2 linked regions of the Caenorhabditis elegans genome follow. The protein of the gene in region 2 interacts with the protein of the main gene of each other region in a pairwise test. Each region holds a gene or a part of one and is shown on either strand. Other genes may lie near its edges.

Region 1 (9,121 bases), on a different chromosome or scaffold from region 2:
AAAAATAAACTTTTTAAACAAGATCTAAAAACTATTATTAGATACTTGAAAGATTTTAAACAAACTTTCACATCACTCACCCTGAACATGTACAAGTTGTAGAAGCTCCTGTACATGTACGTGTCCTCTGTTGAGTTCCACAATTTCCACAGGTATCACTACAAGTTGACCACTCTCCCCATGTTGCCCAGGAGCAAGTCTAAATACAGTCTTAGTTTATTAGAGATTTCAACCGTTTAATTTACTTGTGCTTCAGCAACCATAACAACGCAGAAAAGTGTAGCAATAGCTAGAAAAATCGGGTTCATGTTGGTTTTTGACAGAATAATGTTGATGGTGACGTTGGTTCGGTGCCTTATAAACCTTTTCCCCGCTTTCGCCGCCTCCAACTATTTTTGCAAACGGATTAACGTGGATCACAATATTTGAATGAGTAATGTGAACAGAATGACAATTTGGGAGAGTTCAGACATAAAACATGATATCATGGGTGATATAAAGAGCGTAATATTGAGAAGAAAATTATATTATAGAGAGAATTCTCAGGGCAATAGGAGAAACCCAAATTTCATTAATGTATAAACGTAAGAATTTATCATCAAGTGCTCTTCGGTGTGGGAACTTAAGTTATGAAATAATAAAGATCAGATTGCGTTTTATGGATATGATGCTTGTCTTATATAACTTACAGGTTTTCAAGTACTTTACAGAATCGTCACGAACAAAATTGGTTAAAGTTACTTTTTTACAGGGTTATAATAAATGTTAATATGGAGTGCAATCCATAAAAAGTTACATAACTTAAATTTTGGAAATCGTCCGAAACACCTGATTCTTATATCGTTCGCAAATGACGCCCAACACAAAAATTACAGGAATTTCCTTTTTTAAAGCACAAATAATTTGTCATAGAAGGTTGGAACAAACAATCATATTGTTCTTTTTCTGAATGAAAGAACCTAACAGCTGACTTTTTTGCATAGTATTTTTGGTGGAAAACGTGCATGTTATCAAGTTCACCTACTGGATATAACAACTGAACTATTATTCAAATGTCGCGCGACAATATAAATATTCAGAAAACACAAAAGTATCGAAAGATCATGTAATGACCAATGATGAAAGTAGTAACAATTATGAATCACGCTCGGGTTGTAGGTCAAACTATATTCTGAACAGTACAGAGGATTTATAAGTATGTAATTGATCACGACGTAGGCAGAAGAGATGTTTCTAACCATTGGTTCAATATAAAATTGGGCATTTATATTGGAAGTAATCAAATAATGTTGTGAACAGATATGACCATTGAAAAATTGCTTAAATTACAGCATAAGAACCTTCCAAAGTGTTTTTATTTCTGATCAAAAAATGGAAATAAAAGTTAACTTGATCTATAGGTTTGCGGTCAAAGTGCCATTTATCTTCATAATATACAGGATGGCCCATAATTATGGGGACCGTAGTTTTGTACGCAAATCTCACGTCTCACAAACTAAAAAATGAGGGTTTGTTACTTTATTGATAGACAAAATATTTTTCTATCAGCTAACATAAAAAACTTTTCGATTGGTCGAACAACAGAAGTTTGGCAGCGTCGGGAGTGTAACATGTTTTCACCCTTCTGGCGCGCAACTTTTTTTTGCATAGTTTAGGTTCTCTAAATGTTGAAACTGATTTTTTCTGTAGTGTTTTGTGCATTTTAGAACCACAAAATATATTCTCACAGTATACAAAAAAAGAAAAACAAGTTTCATTAGAATCCAGCTTCTAATGGACAATTGTTTGGAACTAGCTAAATCCCGTTTTCGCAAAAAATTGAGCGATTTTTTCACACATTCTTGCATATTCAGTAATATCTCAGGTCATTGGAATGATAGGGACATAATTTTTTACACAAAAGTAGAAGTTGGACTGTAGATCTGAAATATATTATTTTCAAAAAATTCCGCCGTCTCCTGACTTTCAAACCGAGTCGAATGTGCGCGTTTTGAGCTTTTCAACCTATCTCCCTTCAATCAATGGCCACACTAACGGAAAATTATTAAAATGGACGAATTGTTTTGAAATACGTATTCTACAGTCAATGTCATTTTAAAAAGTAATAGTAAACTTTTTAAACTGGCAGGAGTCGCTGAAGACATCATTAGAAAGAAAAACACCCACACTAGCGCGCCAGCGACAATTTAACTTCGGAACGTCGGAAGGTGTGTAACGTGTCACATAATGATATTTTCAAAGTTTAATAACATATTTTGTTCCTAAGAATATGGGGAATAAAACCTATGCTGTTAAAATTTTTTTGAAGGATTGCATCAAATTTTATAGACGCAAGTATCGGTCCCCATAATTATGGGCCACCCTGTACTTATGTACATAGTAGGGTAAATGATTTCCAATACAACTTTGATTTATGTTAAATGTTTTAATGTTCAACATTTGTGGGGGAACTTTATTCATGATAAGAACCCAGGAAAATTATGTACTTATTTTGTCTTTTTTTTTGCCTTTGCCCGTCAGTTCAAACCCAAGTTCTTTCTTGAAACATCCCCTTTTCCGAATTTATCTAGATGTTTCCCCGAAATTTTAATAATTCACTTATCTGGTTTTAAATCGACATTTTTCTTCAATACTGCCCCTTTCTTTCCAATTCCATTCGAATATCTATTCCGCCTTCCCCCGCGAGCAAAATCTCCATGGCAACCAAAACACGCATCTCCCCTTTGTTGTTTACTTTTTGTCCTTACTTCCCGATTTCTTCAATTATTAACATAAATGAAACCATTTTTAATTGAATGGGCACCTCACTGTGGTTGGATTTGTGTTGTAACTCAAGATGAGACAACTGGAGAAGCAAATGTCGCATTTTCGGATCATTCAGTAAGAAAAATGAACAATCGAACGAGATTATAATCTGTTTTATTCATGGATCAAAGCTAAATCCTTGAGTTATTTTCAATAGATCTTTAAAACAAATATGTACTTGAGCGTATCTTCCCGTTTATTAGATAATAATTGAAACAATTTTAAGGGATCTGTGCAAGAAAAGGGGCCATCAAAACCAGGATCAGTTTCTTGTGTAAGATGGCATCCAAAGAAACAATTCGTGGTAGTAGGATGGAAAGATGGAGGAGTTTGTTTTATTCCAAAAGGAGGGAATGTTTGTGAGTGATTTTCAAAAAACTAATACTACAAAAAGTTATATATATATATATAAATAATGTTTTAGTAATGGAAAACTCATTTCAGCTCATACTGTGGTCGAAACATATCCATTTCCAAATCAAGGAGTAGATTGGAGCCACGACGGAACTGTTTTGATGACGTTGCATAATGTGAGTATCAATTTAAAAAACTTACAAATTATTTTATTTAATTTCAGCCATCATCAGTCCATTTATACTCCTACATGGTAATTGGAGAAGAAATTTCCACTTCAAATATAATGCAGATTGAGCTGAACGATCAAATTACGTTATGGTGTAAACGATTGAGCTATGACAAGTAATATAATTCATAAATCTGAGTGAAATTAAAAATGGTAAAATTTAAGATTCAAACCAAGTAAAATTTCTGTAACGGATGATGACAGTGGAGTTGATGAGTCACCGTTCGGTTCAAAAGAGTCACTGGCAGAAAGAAGAGATGAAAAGAGTACTGTACCAAAGGGTACTGAGTTCTTATTTGCAGGCAAATCAGGTACCATTTATGGAGTGGATAATGACCGACAACGGACTATTCATAAGGTGAGCTAGGATAAAGGTTACTAGTCTATGCACAAATGTAGCCAACTTTGTATTGAAGAGTTCTGGTTCCTAATAAATATTTACAAGCAGATGAAATAATACAGTAGTTTATAATTTTTCAAAATTTTCCATGTTTAGTAAAAAAATTTATAAATTCTACTTCTATGGAAGTTGCACGCACTGTATGCCAATTAATTACTATTAAGCAAAATGCAAGAAGGCAAAGGAAAAATTTAATTGTAAGAAAACTCCAATAAAAAAGCGACGAGTAGGAAATACTGTTCTCTTTAAAGACTCACGCCTCTTTTCACAACAGTCTTTTACATTACAGTGGTCCAGATTCACCTATGCTGTAGAGAAGTTACTTTGACCGCTCCAAAAATAATTTTAGAGATAAAAGGCATCAAGAATTTGTTTAAGAAGATTTTGATTTTCTCGTAAATATAAAAATTCTATTCAAAAATACAAACAGAACTACAGAAAATTTTTTAAAAATTTATCCAAATATTATTATTTTTGACATATCTGACTAGTGGTTACTCATAAATAAAAACTCAAATTATGTTTAAAAATCTAAAATTAAAAAATTGGAAAAATTTTCAGCTGGACTCGGAAATCTTATTCATGGGATACTGTGAGACAATATCGATAATTATTGTATTTACAAGAGATTGCTTCATTTTTCATTTGGCCAAGGGAACATCTGAAATGCGATGCGCAGAACGAGTAAAAGTGAAACTCGGAGGAAAATCTGAAAAATATTCTTTGGAATTGGATGATGGAATACTGGTGATGTGTTATGGTGAAAAAGAAATTCGAGTATGGGACTTGATAAAAGAGGAGAATGGAACAATTGCATTAGATGTAAACAAGGGATTTCAACCAGATGAGACAATAAATGTAGTCACAGTTAATGGGAAAAGAGGTAAGAAAACCGGAAATAGAGGTAATCAAAGAAAATATTGATCAGGTGTGATAACTGCGGCAACGAGTCTCAATAATATTGCTGAATGGAAACGAAAACGAACTGATACTAATGTCGAGAGTGCTTGGAATTTGAGTCCCAGCACGCATGTCGATAGCCAGGTGAGTGAAGATGACACGCTAATCCCCTTTTAGAATGTTAGATGAGAATATCCTCCAAATGTTATTCCTATTCGAGTTTCTTATAAATTTTGAGTTTATAGAACTGAACTAAAAACAAAATAGCTTTTTCCAAAGTAGGAAATTTTTTCAGTTTTCCACAAAAACATAGTATTTTAATAGTGTATATTTTTTCATCTATTTCGGTTGAGAACGTTTATTTTGCTAGTTGTCATTCAAACTTCATTTGTCAACATAGTTATAGCCAATTCACTCAACCTCACAAAATTAATTTGTTTTTTGATGTTTGATATGGTAGTCTATGTGTTTTAGTGTGAATTTTTTAACTCCATACTTTTGATTTTTTGCTGAGTGCTGCCAATGCCTCTAACCGGAACTACAACACTATAATTTTTTAACTTACATTAAGGTATACTTAAAATGCAATTATTATGATAACCTAAACGTCTAATTTTAAGAGAGCTTATTTAAGGTTTCATTAATTCGTTGGAGTCCGATACTGAGCACAGCTGCTTTAATAACTGAAGAAGATCTTGTCTTAATTGGAGAAAACTCATTGACAGTAAAAATGCGTGGAAAAATGGCGGCAATTCAGACCAGTTCAAATAGTTTCACTCTTTTACATGCGACAAGTGGAGTCTCTCAAGATTTGAAGTTGTCTATTCCTTCTGCAAAAGGAATTTGTCTCGGAGAGAAGCAACTTGTTGTTTGGAATGAAGATACGGTATTCAACAGATATTCTGAATCACCGGTTTAATAAAAATTTGCAGGTAGTCACTTATGACGTACAAACATCTCTTGCAACTATCCAATGCACATCATTTTCTTGTAACACAACTTCTGTTGCAATTGTGAATCAAAACTTGTATTGCATCGAAAAAGACAAAATATTTGCGAGGACTCTTCAAGGAACTCTTCGACAAGAAATTTCCTTACCGGAAATTGAAGGTGATCCGGAAATACTTGAAGTGAATCGATGTTGGATGGCAGTTGCTACTACAAATGGATTCATTCGAATTTATAACTTAAGCGCAAAGTACAAAAATTTACTAGAAGCTATTGATTTATTGATATTAAACTTTCAGAGATGCCCAACAAGAACACAATTCGAAATACATTATCGAAAATGTGAAGAATTTTTATAAATTTCATACAATCCGAATCAATCATACTGGAAATAAAGTCGCTGTATCTTATTTAGAGGTAGTTGTTTTGTTGCAAATAATGCAGGAGCTTAAAATTTTTCAGGACGTGTCGACAGTTGCTGAACGCCTACTTGTCTACGACGCCGAACTCGATGCAGTTTCTTATTTCTCGTTTGATCGTGGAATGACAGATACGCAAGAATATGAAACCCAAGCAGAACTTGCTCATACAAGCAGTGGAAGACCTGTTACAGCAGCTGCACGGAAAATGGCAAGAGAACAATCAAGATTTCAAATGATGAACCATCGTCCTGGAGCTTTTGAATGGGATGAGAATGATGCAAGATATCTTGTAGTTGAATGCATACATGTTGAACCTGAATCAGTAAGTTACTTCAATCTGGACAAATGTAGAATTTTCAAAACAATATAACACATTTTTAACCAGGTCAATTGTTTAAAAAAACTTAGAAAACTTCCATCTTGTTTTCAGACCGATCAAAGAGTTTTAACAGCATTTGTAACTTCTGAACATGGAATACAACTTCAAGGAATGCAGCAAAAAAATCTGCATTGTGGAAAACTTGTTTCAGTCTCTGTTCCAAATTTTTATTTTGTTCGGAAATCTGGATGGGATGAGGAAGACAATCGAGATGAGAGAACTATTGGAAAAACTCTCGTGGCTAAATGTCTTCGAGAGTTTTTAGGTATGAAAGGACCCAGTTGCAAGTTATAAAAATACATTTATTTCAGGAAACGAAAATTGTGACGAATCAACTAGAAAAGCCATGATGGATTTCTCATTTTACCTGACGATTGGTAGCATGGACGCTGCATTTAAAGCAATTCAATTCATAAAAAGGTCCGTTGTTAACTCAAGAAACTCTATTTGTGATTATGATTTTTAAGCGATAGTGTATGGGATCATATGGCATCAATGAGTATTAAAACACGTCGACTAGATGTTGCAATGGTTTGTCTGGGACATATGAAAAATGTGAGAGGAGCCCGGGCGGTGCGGAGATCTCAACAAAATGGGGAGAATGATTCAATGAAGTGTGCAGCTTTGGCAATTGAATTGAGTATGCTGGAGGAAGCATTGATTATCTATGCACAAAATGAAAGATATGATTTGATGAACAAGCTTTATCAGTCTCAAAATATGTGGTCATCAGCTTTTGAAATTGCTGAAACAAAGGATCGTATTCATTTGAGAAATACTCATTACAACTATGCAAAGTATTTGGAAGCAAGAAGAGATCAAGCAAGTATTGAAGCTGCTATTGAGAAGTTGGTTTATTTGTAGTTTTGAATGATAACAAAAAATATATTTTCAGTTACGAAAAAGCAGGAGTTCATGCTTTTGAAGTTTTCCGAATGCTCAAAGACTATCCAAAACAAATAGAACAATATGTTCGTAGAAAACGTGAAGAGCGAGTTTATTCAAAAATTCTAAAAAATATTAATTCACAAAAATTCAGATCATTGTATAGTTGGTGGGGAGCCTACTTGGAAAGTGTTGGAGAATTGGAGGGTGCAATAAGCTTCTACTCTTCTGCAAAAGATTATTACTGCATGGTTCGTGTAAAGTGTATTCAAGGCAAAACCGATGAGGCTGCTCGGCTTGCCGAAGAATCAAAAGATAAAGCAGCGTGTTATCTAATTGGAAGAATGTATGAAAATGATGGTGACGTAGTGAAAGCTGTGAAATTCTTCACAAAGGCACGAGCGCTGTCATCTGCAATACGTCTCGCAAAAGAGCATGACATGAAAGATAGGCTTGCTAATTTATGCTTGATGGCGGGTGGATCTGAACTTGTAAGCGCTGCAAGATACTACGAAGATCTTCCTGGATATGCACACAAAGCTGTAATGCTGTATCATAAAGCTGGAATGATTGGAAGAGCTCTTGATTTGGCATTTCGTACTGAACAGTTCAGCGCTCTGGATTTAATTACCAAGGATTTGGATGCAGGAACAGATCCAAAAATATTGAGAAGAGCTGCTGAATTCTTTGAAAATAATCAAAACTACGAGAAGGCAGTTAACTTTTTGTGCCTAGCAAAAGAGTTTTCTGGAGCCGTACAATTATGCAAAAATAGGAATGTGAGAGTCAGTGATAAATTTGCAGAACTTATGACTCCAACAAAAGGTTCGTGTTTTCTTTTGAGATTCATGTAAAATTTACACATTTTGAAGATGACATGCCAAATGTACAAGAAAGAAAACAAGTTCTTGAAACAGTGGCGGAGCTTTGTCTTCAACAAGGTGCCTACTCAGCAGCAGCAAAGAAGTTTACACAAGCAGGAGACAAACTATCTGTATGTTGGTATAATTTATATAATGCTCAGTTTCCATTTCAGGCAATGAGAGCTCTTCTCAAATCCGGAGACATTCAAAAAATTCGATTTTTTGCAAACACTGCTCGAAACAAGGAGATCTACATTCTGGCAGCCAATTTCTTACAAACGACTGATTGGCAAGATAATCAGCAGACAATGAAAGATATCGAAACATTTTATACAAAATCACAATCTTTTGAACATCTTGGAAATTTCTACAAATCAGTTGCAATTGTATGAGGTTCTTAGTGTTTGACATGTTATTTGTTTATTTTTAGATTGAAGCCGAACATTTGAGAACTCTTGATAAATCGATGGGAGCTTTGGAAATGGCGGCAGTTTGTGTTCTGGAAGCAGAACAAAAAAATATGTCCACGACTGGACTTGATGCATTGAAAGAGGATTTGAAAAAATATGTAGTTCAACTGAGGAAACTGCAGAGTGTTTTAGAGTGAGTAAAAAATTCAAGAATTGGGCTGAAAAATTAATTTAGAGTAATGAAAAACGATGCAGCGGATGGAATGCGTCAATTAACAACTCTTGCAGAAGAATCAATTGATGATGATATTGTCCCGTGTACACGACTTTTTGCTCTTATAATTGAAGATCATGCCTCTCGGAAGAATTGGAAACCTGCGTACAGAGCAATTACAGGATTACAAAAGAAAGTACCAAATGTTGATTTGGAAACTTTCGTAGAGACATCCACATTGGATAAAGTATGTGATGAAATGAGAATGGAAAGAGTGACAAAGAAAAAGAAAGAAGAAGTTGAATCTGATGG
Region 2 (6,240 bases):
GGAAAATAAGTGAATGTTAGTGTTTTGGAGCAATTTTTTACAATTCTTGGAATAATGATTGAGTTTTTCAGTGAATTATACACGTGAAATAAAAAAAAATAGTTTTGTCAAAAAATTTTCGGATTTTGTGGACAAAATCCTCGAAAAACTTTTTTTCTCTGTCAAAAATCGAATTTAGGATTGTTGCTTACAAACAACGCGATTGCTGAAAATAACTTCAAAAATTGATTTTTTAAAACATAACATTTTTACAAAATCGGATTAATAACAAAAAGGTAATTTTTGCCTTATATATAAATAGTTTTTGCACAAAAACTTTAGATATTGGCCAAAAATCAAGACATTTTTGAACAAAAAATCCCAAAAAATCTTTTTTTTCAAATTAAAAATTCGAAAAATCTGTTGAATGACAGAAATGATACTTTCTGAAATTTCTATCACTGGAAAAAATCAAACTTTTCCTTCAAAACTTACCTAAACTTGTGATGCCACTGAACATTGGTGATCGGCCGCAAATTGATGATATCAATGATAGATGGTCTCAACTGCACCCATACTTTGTCAAATTCCACAACTTTTGGCTTCAGTGAGTACATAACCTGTGGACGAGGTGGACGACTGAAAATGATGACAATTTGTGCGAAATTTTCAAAAAAAAATAACGGGTACCGTAAGGAAACTTTTGTGGAACTTGCCATTTTTACGGAAAAAGCGAAAATTTTTGAAATGCGGATTAAAAAACTAAACACGAAAATTTAATTGATAAAAAGAATCACGTGATTTTAATTATTCTTTCTTTTTTTAATTCGTTCAATTATTTAATATTCAAACCGAAAAATGAGAAACCAGGGGTCATAAACCAAATAATATCGATCGATGCGCAGCAGACGCACTCACATTTTCTTCAATATCGGCTCAACGACGGGAAAATTGTCGTCAGAAATTGCCTTACGGCGGCCAAGTGTCGTACGATTCGATGTCGGCTGTGTATTCGACGCCAGTTTTGCCTGTGGACGGTGAACCTCGGACCGGTTTCCTGTGGAGGTTACACTGAAGATTTTCGGGGATATGGTGGAGAAGCTGAAATTTGATTTTTAGAGAAGATATATTGAAAAGAGATAACAAACGTTAAAAATATATTGAACGTCATATGTTAGAAGTTGGCAATGACAATGAAAAATGTGACATGTGAGAAAAGGAGGATTTTAAAAAGGAAATCTGTTTAGAACAAAAATTAAGAATAATTTTCTGAAGTCTAAAATTTAAAATTAAATTAATATTTGAAGTTATTAAAGGTGGAGTCGTTTTGGAATTTGATTATAAAGTTTTCTCTAAAAATTTTAATATTGAAAAATTAAAAAAAAGAATACCCTTTTGGCATTTTTGTGCATTTTTTGGCTAAACTTGGAATAAATGGCCAAAAACCAAAATAAAATCGGAGCAGTGCTACAGTACTAATTAAAAAAACTACTGTAGTTTTCGCTATGAGATACTTCTCAAAATTTAGTGTACCCGTAATGCTCTCCCATTACAAATGTATTTGCCCCAGATGTGTAAATGAATAATTTTATCAAATATTTTTGTTCGATATTCACATAAAAAGATGAAATTGCGGTTTGTTTTTTTTTCTCGAGAATCCAGAAAATTCTACTAATTGTCATTATTCCCAAACCGGGAATGATCAAATCCCCTCTTCCACTTCCCCTGTTCTTTCCTCAATTTGCGTGCTCAACACACACTGTGTAGCCCGGTTACCAAGGCAACAACTCCCCAAAGGCTCGGGTAGCTCAATGATTTGTACTTCATTTTTTGTAACCATTATTTGTAGGCTCGTGACATAAGTGACAAATCATAGGGGAGCAGTGGCAAACGTCGAAAACAACGGAGATCTTCATTCATATAAATGTCATTAAAGGTAATTCCGTGTACTCTCACAAAAAATCAGGAAGTATTTAAATGTGTTTCTGCTCAGCTTCAATATCGAAGAGGCGAAGAAGAGCACGGAAGTGGACCGATTATTCATCGATGGAGACCAAATGGGCATACTGTAGCTGTTGCATGGTTTGTTTATTTTTTGTTTAATTCTTATTTTTAACAGTATCTTTTTTAAAGATTTTTCTTTAAAATATTCAAAATTCAAAAACTCCAAAAAAGACGAAAAAAATCGAGAAAGAATTTAAAGCCAACTTTTAGAAGTAGGATTTTCAATTTTGGCTAATTGTCCTGTTTGATTTTTTTTCCAAAATGGGAGCTTCATGACCAATGCGTTTGCAAAGACCTTGATTGGTTTGAAAATGGGTGGAGCCAATCGCTGATTGTTCAGATTTTTGAAAATTTGAATTTTCATCATTATTTCTCAATTTATTATTATCGGTTCTGGAATTTCTGAATTTGAAGCTTTTTAAATGCATTTTAAAGCTGAGCTTTTCCAAGCAATAAATTATACTTTTCAGCGCCAATAACACGGTCATCTATTACGATAAGAAAGGAAATGTTATTGACGCGTTGAATCCAACTGGGTGAGTTCAGAGTTTTTTGAAATGTAAAGAAAAAAGAAGATTTTCGTGATTTACACTTTTTTCAACTTCCAGAAAACTTATCGACATAGCTTGGGATAAGGAAGGTGATGTACTAGCGATTGCCGTAGCAAATACCGGGACTATTTATCTATGGGATGTGAACTCGCGGAATACAGATACTGTTGAGAGTGGAGCGACCTCTTCAAAGTGAGTTGAAAAACGGGGGCATTTTCTAAATACGGTTACAAAATATTATTTCAAAATTTTGAAACTGTGAGATTTTTTGGAGTTTTCAAAAGATTACAGATTTTTCGTTGTATTTCTACGTACTTCAGATTTAAAAAGTGATACACCAAAACTTGCTTCATTCCAGAGAGCTCCCAACATGTCTTGCATGGTCCCCAAGTACTCCTACACTGGTAATCGGCAACAACGCAGGAAATATCGTCGTCTACAATCATCGAACGTCTCGGCGGATAGCCGTGATGGGAAAACATCAACGAAGTGTCACACAGATTACAGTAACCCCGGAGGATTATGTAATTTCTTGTAGTGACGATAATACACTTTCAGGTTAGAATATTTCCGTTCAAATTATATTCGAAAATCATGTTTTGGAAAAAAATTGAAAACAGTCAACCCAGAGAAATGAATTGAATGAAAATATAGTTCCTCCGATTTACTGGGTATTATTGCAAGAGGTTTTAACTTTCCAAATAAATTTGACCTCAATTTTATATTTATTTCAAGAGAACAATATTAAGATGAAAACCAACTCTCGAAAAAACGTGGCATTAAAAATTGATACAAGTAATACCTAAATTTGTAGTAACCACACTGGAGGGCACCACAGTGAGCACAACGACGACAAACGGAGAGCCCACAAATATGGATTATGGTTCCGTGAATGGAAAAGGTGGAAGCGGTGTCACGATGGTCAGCGTGGTTATAGGGAAGAAGATTCTGATGCTCGCGCATTACAATGCTCTCGACGAACCCGTGAATCTTCAGTTTCAGGAGAAATATGGAAATATTCACTCCTATAGGTGGTTTAACGACGGTTATATACTCATCGGCTTTGACCGTGGCTATATAATATCGATTTCGGCACATAACAACGAAATCGGCTCGGAGCTAGTCAGTTTCCTCGAATATCGTGGATATCTGGCTTCTATTGCTGTTAGCACCTCGTTTAACAAGCTTCTCACCATCGGAGACAACATGTACGAAGAATCGGTATTTCAGATAATATTTCATGATTTTCAGGGTCAAAGTTCGGGATCTCGACGAGCTTACGACTGTTACTATGCTGACAGAAATTGAAACTGAGAAAAGTGAGAAGCTGGTTTTACTGCAAGCTGAGCTATTTTTTCGAACAAATTTGCAGATCTGAGCGAGATCGAGGTGACCGAAGACGGTCAACTAGTCGCAGTGTCGTCCCAAAGCGGAGTTCTCTCGATATTCGTGACAAAAATGCCAACGCTTGCCGCTTCCTACAACAACTCTATCTGCTACCTGACGAACTTGACACAAGTGACTGTGGTGGCGGAAGTCGAGAAAAAGGGCTCATCGACTTTGGAGCTCAATATTGAACCAACTGTTATGGGATTGGGGCCGTTGAATTTGGCGGTCGCCAATAATAATACCGTGTTTTTCTATGATTATCATACACCTGCGCAGATGCAAGCTGCCCAACAGCTGCAGTCCACTCAATCGGCTGCAGAGAAACGTAAGAAAAATTTAGATTTTTGGCGGAAATTCGAAAAATTAGGGATTTCATGACAGGTTTCAAGAGTTCCGCTTTGGAATATTCCATCAAAAGACATCATGCAAGCTAATAGTCGGAAAATCGACAACTTTTCAGCACCTCGAAAACAAAATTTTAGAAACATCTGATTTTTGCGAAATTTTTTATTTTCCCTCGTTTTTTAACTTAATTATACACTTTACGTCCTAAAATCTCGCTTTAAAGCAGAACTCCCTCTTTTCAGCGACCATAGTTGCCGCGGAGCCCATCAATCGCGTCGAGTACCTCTCCACGGTCACAAACATCCAGCTAAACTACATGTACGCTGCTGTCAACTTTGGGAGCAGGCTCCGCCTGCATCGAATCCGAAATTCCGAGGATAACGTATCAATTGAGTTTCCCGAAGCGAACCGCAACGCGACGCTCTACTCTTACGCTTTGACCGAAAATTTTCTGATTTTTACGACGAGCGTGAGTGTTAAACTGATATTTTGATTTACGAAGCTAACATTTTCTAGAAATTTTGAGAAAAAGCTTGAAAATGGCAACAAAAAGAAAAAAACTAAAATTCAAAACTAAAATTTATAAAATTAGGCGCCGCTGTGCATGTTGCGCGGCGGTGTATGCACACAAATTACTGTAAGGCATTTAAACTGACGCGCAAGTTTTTAATTGTTATTTAAATAATATTCGATTTGGAAGATTGAAAGCAAAAAGGATATTAAAAATGAGAGCAAGAAAATACGCAATTGACAAATTAAACAAATTGAAAAAAAAACGAATTTTTCAGCTATTCAGTAAGAAATATTACAGAACAACTACATTGTGTACTTTTCACTATCAGAATGGGCTATAGTCAGTGAATATCGTCACGTGGTTCCAGTTCGCTCCATATTCCCGCATCCGACAAATGTCGTGTGCTGCTGCTTCGACGACAGACTAGAAGCTATGATTTATTCGTAAGAACCTTTAAAAGAAAAGAAGCTGCAGATTTCATAAAATCTGAAGCAACGCGAATAAATTTTGACACTTTTCAGCGCAGTTGACGATGAAGTCTTCAGGCTCCCTTCAGTGGGATCCAGTGCTCATGTAAGTCATATGAAAAACCTCACATGACCAAAAATATACTCCCCCATTTTCTTTAACACTTGCGCAATTTTTCAAATATTCAATTTGTTTCAATTCTAACTTTATAATTATAGCTCCGAATAGAAAAAAGTCAATATTTGCCTGATATAAAATTGAAATATGAAACCCCGGAAGTAAATCTTTGAATTCTAGAAGATCGTCGGCCCATTGTTACGATGTGCGCACATTTTTCTCCACAAAGAAATTTTGAATTTTCCAGTACAAAGGAGCAATATGGGAGACATTTACAATCGACAAAAACACCTTTGCCGTATTTGACTCTCAGAATATTTACGTGTTTCTTCTGAGCAAACAGCATATTCAAGGAGAATCTGTGATCTACGTTAGCGCGACACGCCTACCTCACGCCTATGTTCCCTTGTCACTGAATAAGGGAATAGTAACATGTCTCATGTCAAATGGAAAACTCTCTTCGGTACTTTTGGACTCTCATAAGACGGAATCGGTTATTTCAGACAAATCGGAGACTGTGATCGATGATATACTCACAAGATCTTTATTGATGCACAGGTAAGATTAATAGTTTTTCAAAATCATATTATTGGAATAAAAATAAAGAAGTTATGGGTGTATTACCAGCTTTCCAATGTAGCGAAGGGGTCATTGAATTGCCCATTTGAGGTTGTTGAAGGTTGTGCGGCCTGGAATACCCAAAACAGATTTGTAGAACAAAAAACTATTGAAACCAAGTTTCCCCCTTTTCAAATACCTCAGGATTTCATTTTTTGGTTAAAATTTTTTTGTAAACTTTTGGCAGGAAACCAAAAAAAAGTTTGTTTTTTGAAAAACCTCGGTGCAATTTTGAAAAGTGTGAAAAAATTTTTA

The links.
Region 1: the proteins of dyf-2 (region 2) and che-11 interact in a protein complementation assay, tested with the Caenorhabditis elegans proteins (one study listed by BioGRID).

Annotation. Positions count from the first base shown.
Region 1 is NC_003283.11:12,144,344-12,153,464, reverse strand, and holds the start of che-11 (WD_REPEATS_REGION domain-containing protein), read left to right. Parts: upstream 1-2,757; 5' UTR 2,758-2,775; coding exon 2,776-2,880; intron 2,881-3,031; coding exon 3,032-3,164; intron 3,165-3,249; coding exon 3,250-3,335; intron 3,336-3,382; coding exon 3,383-3,504; intron 3,505-3,553; coding exon 3,554-3,746; intron 3,747-4,349; coding exon 4,350-4,671; intron 4,672-4,716; coding exon 4,717-4,832; intron 4,833-5,322; coding exon 5,323-5,574; intron 5,575-5,620; coding exon 5,621-5,886; intron 5,887-5,935; coding exon 5,936-6,053; intron 6,054-6,098; coding exon 6,099-6,380; intron 6,381-6,488; coding exon 6,489-6,702; intron 6,703-6,748; coding exon 6,749-6,857; intron 6,858-6,904; coding exon 6,905-7,285; intron 7,286-7,332; coding exon 7,333-7,428; intron 7,429-7,476; coding exon 7,477-8,147; intron 8,148-8,194; coding exon 8,195-8,316; intron 8,317-8,358; coding exon 8,359-8,571; intron 8,572-8,615; coding exon 8,616-8,788; intron 8,789-8,830; and 1 more. Other genes in the region: C27A7.8 (ShKT domain-containing protein), read right to left, coding at 81-199, 246-308.
Region 2 is NC_003281.10:13,682,109-13,688,348, reverse strand, and holds the start of dyf-2 (WD repeat-containing protein dyf-2), read left to right. Parts: upstream 1-1,809; 5' UTR 1,810-1,903; coding exon 1,904-1,915; intron 1,916-1,972; coding exon 1,973-2,061; intron 2,062-2,453; coding exon 2,454-2,519; intron 2,520-2,591; coding exon 2,592-2,726; intron 2,727-2,892; coding exon 2,893-3,092; intron 3,093-3,348; coding exon 3,349-3,742; intron 3,743-3,785; coding exon 3,786-3,853; intron 3,854-3,906; coding exon 3,907-4,248; intron 4,249-4,510; coding exon 4,511-4,737; intron 4,738-5,079; coding exon 5,080-5,225; intron 5,226-5,303; coding exon 5,304-5,355; intron 5,356-5,614; coding exon 5,615-5,925; exon of another isoform or gene 5,926-5,987; coding exon of another isoform or gene 5,988-6,056; intron 6,057-6,240. Other genes in the region: cul-2 (Cullin-2), read right to left, coding at 475-618, 670-698; sid-2 (Systemic RNA interference defective protein 2), read right to left, coding at 5,988-6,056.